Schizosaccharomyces pombe: one gene and its partner. The gene in region 1 interacts genetically with each later gene. Each region holds a gene or a part of one and is shown in the gene's direction. Other genes may lie near its edges.

Evidence for each region.
Region 2: mutations in mus7 (region 1) and rad54 are lethal when combined (synthetic lethality), as found in Schizosaccharomyces pombe (one study listed by BioGRID).

What each region holds. Positions count from the first base shown.
Region 1 is NC_003424.3:2,412,063-2,415,991, reverse strand, and holds the start of mus7 (DNA repair protein Mus7/Mms22), read left to right. Parts: upstream 1-1,944; 5' UTR 1,945-2,021; coding exon 2,022-3,929. Other genes in the region: HbrB family protein involved in TOR signaling Bit2, read left to right, coding at 855-1,763. UniProt on the Schizosaccharomyces pombe protein: Involved in protection against replication-dependent DNA damage. May act by restoring active replication forks, repairing unusual DNA structures, and/or preventing aberrant DNA rearrangement at arrested replication forks.
Region 2 is NC_003424.3:3,681,330-3,685,258, reverse strand, and holds the start of rad54 (DNA repair protein), read left to right. Parts: upstream 1-1,993; 5' UTR 1,994-2,113; coding exon 2,114-3,929. Other genes in the region: EF-1 alpha-binding zinc finger protein Zpr1, read left to right, coding at 158-1,537. UniProt on the Schizosaccharomyces pombe protein: Plays an essential role in homologous recombination (HR) which is a major pathway for repairing DNA double-strand breaks (DSBs), single-stranded DNA (ssDNA) gaps, and stalled or collapsed replication forks.

The sequences.
Region 1 (3,929 bases):
AGCACCAAATATGAATAATTAAAAATGCATTAAACGCTTTGTGACAATTGATGGCTTCATTGAATTGTTGATTTAGCATCTCAACATTATTTATTAAATATACCAAGAATAAAATATTATTAGGATTCCTATATCAGCTACGCAGTTTGTTATCTGTTGTAACGATACGTTGGATTACGTCGAAATCTCCTTGTTATCTATTATATTGCACTATACTGGTAATGTAAGTAGCAACTTGTTATTAGTATTCTATATGATTACATTTTTAGCCATCACTAATATTGCCTACAGCTGAACCTCGTTCCTCAGTTCAGTTATAGCTTCTATTCGTAATTATCTAATAGATGTTACCAGCGGGTATTTTTGTATACAGAATAGTTATTCTCAATTACCAATAAAAACACCTTAGCTAATATTCTAACATATGATATTTAGCGATAGACAAGCATAATGTAGCATAACATATAGTAGAATTGCAGGTATTACAAAAGCGATGAATATATTCACAACTTTGAGCCATGGAAATCGACCATACACATTTTTTTGGTGTAGCATATGCTCAAATTGGCTTTAAAAAAAAGTTCATGAAATAAAGAAACTTAGTCATCGACAATGGACCTTGGAAAAATAGAAATCCGAAAATTAACGTGATACTGTTTCATATTTTGTATTATTTATTTAGTGTGCGTGACGCATGTTATTAAATATAGCCTTTGTCAAGTTCGTTAAATTAAGCTTATTTTTTATAGAGTAATTGAATCTATTGACGTAACTTACGCCTGCGATACAGAAATGCAAACAACGAATTTCAACTTTTAAAATCTACCATTGTCTAATATTTAAAAAAGCTAGAAATGAAATTGAGGGATAAATGGAAAATTTATTTAGGGTTAACGACTATCAAAGTTCAATGCCCTTGTTTTTTTTTGTTTCACAATGATGAAAATCGAACCACTACATCTAACTTAGATTCGGTAAAGTCTAAAAAAAAAAGAAGGAAGACGATATCTGATGCTTCAATCGTTTCTAATGGATCTCTAGTCTCTCATCCATCTATTGACAAGGGAAAACTCTCTATTCTCAAGCGATATAAAATGTCGCATCGATTAACTGCAATTGATAAACTAAGACCGCTAACTGTGTTGGTAGCGTGGAAACAATTAAACATTGCTATGAGACCAATATTTCCGCAACATCGTTACACCGAACAGGATAAGAAGAATTGGAAAAAAAAGGTTATTATCGAAGATTTAAATTTTTTAGTGCTGCGGTGTATATGCGCTTGCGAAGCAATAAGCGATTTTGAAGAGCTTTTGGGAAATATGCGAATTGGACTGATAATTGACATTTCATTGCTGGGTATGAATAGCAATGAGTCTTCCTTTCTACACTATCTTGTTGAGGTGTGGTCGATTTTTTATTTAGAAATATTGCCGTATATCGAAGCTACGTTTTTGCCTGTTACTTTTGCAAAATTTGAGATTGCTCAATTATTTGAAGAGCCCATGAAAACGTACTGGTTAAAAAAGAGTGCTAATATAGATTTGAAACTGTTTTCTATTTGGGTGTTTCGTAAATTTGTTGTAATGCCAAAGCTGAAAAAGACAAATCGATTCATTGAAATTCCTCAATTGAATACTCAGCAGCAGATTTTACTCGTCCAGATGATTTCCATTATTTCTCTCATAAAGCCACAAGATGAATCCGAAGATCTTCTAATGAACTGGCTAAACGAACTGACTTTAAAATTTTTATATGTCTGAAATTTAATATGTTTTAATAGAAGATAGACTTTTTATACTTTCAATATTTGTTTTTAAAGCCCATTTAAGCAATTTATCTTTTAATATTTGCGGCTTTTGTTAGGTATTTAATAATGTTACCTATTCCTTGTTACTCAATGGTGTTTCTATTTTGCTAACTGGAGTATGCAACAGGACCTCCATATAGACACTTTTTAAAATCGAAAGAACTCTTCTAAGCCCTCTTATGTAATACCATCTTTCCCATGGGTTTGTAGGATGAATAGTTTCCTTTTACTTGACCATGTGTCTGACTCTCAGGATTCTGGAAGTGAATGGTCAAATACTCATGGGTCTTTAATTTCACAACGTGGAAATGAATACGATGGAATTACGCCGGCTACTAAAGAAAAAAATCAAAATAAGCTAGAAATTCTGAACAATGAAACCACCATCGGTTCTACAAAGTCATCGGTGTCTTCATTGCCCGAATTGAATAGGAATGTTTCTTTTGAAAAAAGTGATCAAAATTTAGCTGAAACAAAGAGGGAAGAAGAAAACAAACGAACTGAGGTTTTTAAAAAAGATGCCGAACACGAAGCGGTTGTTGTTAAAAGAGATTTTCGCCCTAGACGTCCTGAGCAAACCCGGCCTTATACTTACGATTTCTTAAGGCATCAAATAGAGTTTAAAAGAATAGGCTTGGTACCCATCACCGTACCGCATGGTTTTTCTTCTGATCGATCTATTACTTCTAAGTCCTCTCATAAACCTGTAAATGTTATAGTTCGTAATCGTGCTTCTTCACGTAAACCACCCTTGACCTCTACTCATCGCTTTAGAAGGTATGGAGCTGTAATATCTGATAGCGATGATGATGAGTCTAATACTGAGCAAGATCATTCAAAGGAATCTAATCTGAATACAGCTGACAATGACCTCGCATTGTCGTCTACTATTGAAGGAAAGAAAACCTCAACTAGCAAAGAGGCTTTAGAATCTGAGTCTTTACTTTCCGATTCGGATCAGTCTATGACAAATATCTCATCGAATTCTACTGTGAGTGATCTGAATTTGAAAACTTTAAAGAAAAGATTACGAGGAGTTTTACCACCATCATTTCTAACTCTTCAAGAAAAAAAAAAATTGGAAAATAGAGGTGTCAAAAAAAAGACATCATTACACAAGAGTGTTATTGAGGGAGAAAAAATAAAAGGTGTGGCTCGACGGAAGTTGCATCCTAGATCGACAGCTAAACTATCTAGTGAATTAGGAAACGAAATATCGGATTCTGACAATAGCATTTCTACGCCAACACCAACTGATGATTCACGGTTTGACACCAGCGAGTTTTTAGATTCAATTTCTCGTGATAATGGCTGGTTGAAAGAAGATGTGGTTGATCAATTATGGCTTCCTAAAAGAAGTTTATCCGCTCTTAAAAAATCAAGTTCTTTGACGTCGGAAAACCCCTTTCAGCTAAATGTAGCAGCCAATGCTGTTTCTACTATTCCTGTCTATCGCACAACTAAAACCAAAATGAAAAAAAATAGATTTAAATATGTCGAAGTGGAAAAATTACCAGACCTTATCCTTGAATCGTATGGGAAAAAGGCGCCAAAGTTTTTGAGGGTGTTTGCTCGAAGTTCATCTCATATTCCAAAAATGATTAGAAGAAAAAGACAAATGGATTCCAAAAAGTATTTTTCCTTCGACAAAGAATCCGATCGCCAAGTTATTGATCAAGTTCTTTCTGATTGGTATTCAGGTAAACATGAGCTTGTTCAACAATCTCATTCTTACAAAAAGCCTTCAGATTCTAAGTCAGTTGGTGGAAATATTTTTTCTGTTAATTCTAAAAAGCATAGTGTAAATATTAACGCTAAAACAGCAGCAAATAACGGTTTGAGTCATCTTCAAAATTTTAGCGAGGAACTCTTAAAAAAAAGAAAGCTATTTTCTTCTCTTTTTTCTAATAACGTTTCATACAAAAAATCCAAAAAGTTAAAAAGGACTCATACAGTACATGACAAATGCCAAAAAGTTGCCAAATTAGACCATTACATTAGGGACAATATTGAATTAAACTCAAAGGAAAGAGAACATGATTGTTATGAGGGGACTTTAGCTGTACCCCAAGTAAATACTGAGATCCGCAAGTCTTCAAGAAAGCAGAAGGCTCAACGA
Region 2 (3,929 bases), 1.3 Mb from region 1:
TTTTAATTTTGTTTTTCATTAAAGACAGTTTATATTGGGTCATTAAGGAAAATTTTTTCCATTCAAGTGAAGACAAATTTTATATTGGTACAAGTTATTCTGTACTTGTCCTTAAACACATCTAATCAAAATAACGCTAAAAAGAAAATTTGAGAGCATGGCGGAAGAAAAAAAGGAAGAATTGTTCACAAGTATTGGCAATGCTGCACAAAATGTGTCAACAGCTGAGGATAGGGAAGGAAATGGTGTTCAAGAAGTCGAATCGTTGTGTATGGAGTGTGGAAAAAACGGTACTACTAAATTATTGTTGACGGTCATTCCATACTTCCGTGAGGTTGTTTTAATGTCGTTTGAATGTCCTCATTGTGGGTTTAAGAATGCGCAAGTTCAACACGCTGAGACAATTCAACCGGAAGGAAGCAAAATTACTTTCCATGTTGAGGATAAGGAAGATTTAAATCGGACAGTTGTAAAGAGCCAGGAGGCTATTGTCAGTATTCCTGAAATTCAGCTAGAAATCCCGGGAAGGTTAGGCCAGTTAACTACCATTGAGGGGATTCTGAGTAATGTGGTGGATGATTTAAGTAAAGAACAAGAATCTCGTAAGGAGTCTGCTCCTCAGTTATATGACCAAATAAATGCTTTCATTGAGAAAGTGAATAGTCTACGTTCTGGATCTGTACCATTTACCATCACAGTTGACGATATTACGGGCAACAGCTGGATCGAGATGAAACCTGGCCGAGATGGTGACCGATGGTCTCAGGTTAGCTACAAGCGTACTTTGGAGCAGAATACGAAGCTGGGTCTTGTGGATACTGATCAACCTGAAGACGTCAAGACACAAACAAACAACGCTTCTAATACACTTAAACATGATGCTACTGCTGTGGAAGTCGATCCCAATGAGGTACATACCTTCCATGCAACTTGTCCCTCTTGTTCACATCAATGTGACACCCACATGAAGTTGCTTGATATTCCCCATTTCAAAGAAGTTATTATCATGTCTACTGTTTGTGATCGTTGTGGATATCGTTCCAACGAAGTAAAAACTGGTGGTGAAATTCCACCCAAAGGTCGAAAAATTACTTTAAAGGTCATGGATGCCGAGGACTTATCCCGTGATATTCTCAAATCTGAAACCGCATCTCTTAAAATTCCTGAACTTGGACTTGATTTGTTCCCAGGTACTTTGGGTGGACGATTCACAACCATTGAAGGTCTTCTAGCTCAAGTTTATGATGAGTTATATGGCCGTGTGTTTTCTCAGGAGACCGATTCTATGACTCCTGAGCAAGTCGCTAACTGGCAACAATTTCTCTGCAACTTGACGGCTGCACGTGAGGGTGCTACTCAATTCACTCTTATTTTAGATGATCCTCTTTCACAAAGTTATCTGCAGAATTATTACGCTCCCGATCCAGATCCAAATATGACTATTGAGGAGTATGAACGTTCATTCCAAGTAAATGAGGAATTGGGTCTGAACGATATGAAGACAGAAAACTATGAAAAGGATGGAGGTAAGAAGTAAAGTTCGAGGTTTTTGTCAAATGTTAGGGAATGTATTTAATATAGTAATACTATGTTTTTTTGGGGGGTTTATTGACTATGAAGATATAATAGTATAGTAGATTAGCTAATTTTTATTTCCCGTAATGTTTTTGTTAGAGACTGATGCTTTATTATTTTACTTTTAGTTTAAAATAGTTACTTGATTTATCGCAAATGTTATGAGGCTAATAATTCGAAGTATTAGTAAACCATAAAATTTGCTACAAGAAATGTTAGATAGTGAAGCTAAAATTATTACCAATAACAAACTTGTAACACATATTTAGCCGATACCAGAAATAATTGATTCATATTTCACAATTTCATTATTTGTATACCATGTTTAGTGAAGGGTAACAATGGTGCGTAATTTAAAGAACGCGACACGCTATAATAGTAATAGAATTTAATTTATATATACATCTAGATATTTCTCAACACATACCATTGGTATAAACAGCACTTTCCTTTTTTTTTTGTTTGAATCCTTATCCCTCTTTTCCTACCCTTTCTTCTATTTCAGTAATCTCTTTTTTAATAATTGCTAATATATTTAATGATTCAGCAACCAACAACTGCTAAACCTAGAATTTCTACTTCTTCAAAGTTAAATACTGTTTTATCAAAAAACAAAGAGAATGTTCCTGGAAAGTTGTTTAAAAAGTTTAAATGCCCTTCTTTAGTGATTTCAGAAAAGCGAAAAGAGCTTCCTTTACGCAAAAAGCCAAGAGTTAACTACAGCGAATATGGTTCTGTTGATGGGAAGTATGATTCAGCTTACGTATCTGAAAATGTGTCTGGGTTGGCAACCATCAAAGAAGCTAATCGATTAATACTAAATCATGAACGACGAGATCCCTCAACAGTCATTAAGAAACAGTTCTCTGTGCCTAAACCTATCAAGGGTCATGAAGATATATCTAAACTGTGTGCACATCGTCCACCTCCTACACTGGGAATGAAAAGGAAGGTGGATTTTATTCCTCGTCCCCTTTACGATCCTGCTGATGAATTTGCTATCGTTTTATATGATCCCACTACTGATGCAGATGAGATCATTCCTGATATAAAAGAGGTCTTAGCGGAAAAACGTAAAAAAGATGAATTGTTAAAAAATCGAAAAGGAAAGAAAGAAATTTCTGATAGTGAGCCTGAAAGTGACCATGATTCATGTGTCTCCACTGACACAGTGGCTAGCTGTTCTACCGAGCAAAGTCTCATAACCTCTAATACCTCAAAGCATAGAAGACCAAATAAAAGTTTGAAAGATCTACTAGGAATTCAGAAAGAAAAACCTCCACCTCCTCCTGTTGCTGTTGTCATTGATCCAAAACTTGCTCGTATTCTAAGACCTCATCAAATAGAAGGTGTCAAATTCTTGTACAAGTGTGTAACTGGAAGGATTGACCGTTGTGCAAATGGATGTATTATGGCAGATGAGATGGGACTTGGTAAGACACTTCAATGTATTGCTTTGTTATGGACCCTTTTAAAACAGTCTCCTCAGGCTGGAAAACCGACAATTGAAAAGGCAATTATAACTTGTCCTTCTTCTTTAGTCAAAAATTGGGCTAATGAACTTGTCAAATGGTTAGGAAAAGATGCTATTACTCCATTCATATTGGACGGTAAAAGCTCCAAACAGGAGTTAATCATGGCTTTGCAACAATGGGCATCCGTACATGGACGACAAGTCACACGTCCAGTGCTTATTGCCAGTTATGAAACCCTTAGAAGTTATGTTGAGCATCTCAACAACGCAGAAATTGGAATGCTTCTTTGTGACGAAGGTCATCGTCTTAAGAATAGTGATTCTTTGACTTTTACGGCATTAGACAAGCTAAACGTTCAAAGGCGTGTCATCCTTTCTGGTACCCCTATTCAAAATGATCTAAGCGAATACTTTTCGTTGTTAAATTTTGCGAATCCTGGGTTGTTAGGTTCAAGGCAAGAGTTCAGAAAAAATTATGAAATTCCAATTTTAAAAGGTCGTGATGCTGACGGAACAGAAAAAGATAAGGAGAATGGTGATGCTAAGTTAGCTGAGTTAGCCAAGATTGTCAATCGGTTTATTATTCGTCGTACGAATGATATTCTCTCCAAATATTTGCCTGTTAAATACGAACATGTTGTCTTTTGCAACCTTTCCGAATTTCAGCTTTCTTTGTACAAGCATTTTATTACCTCGCCTGAAATCAATAAAATCTTAAGGGGGACCGGCAGTCAACCACTAAAAGCTATAGGTCTGCTAAAAAAAATATGTAATCATCCTGATCTATTGAATTTAACTGAGGACTTGGAAGGTTGTGAGGCTCTATTCCCTCCAGGATTTATTCCCCGTGAGCTAAGAGGGCGCGATAGAAACATTGACT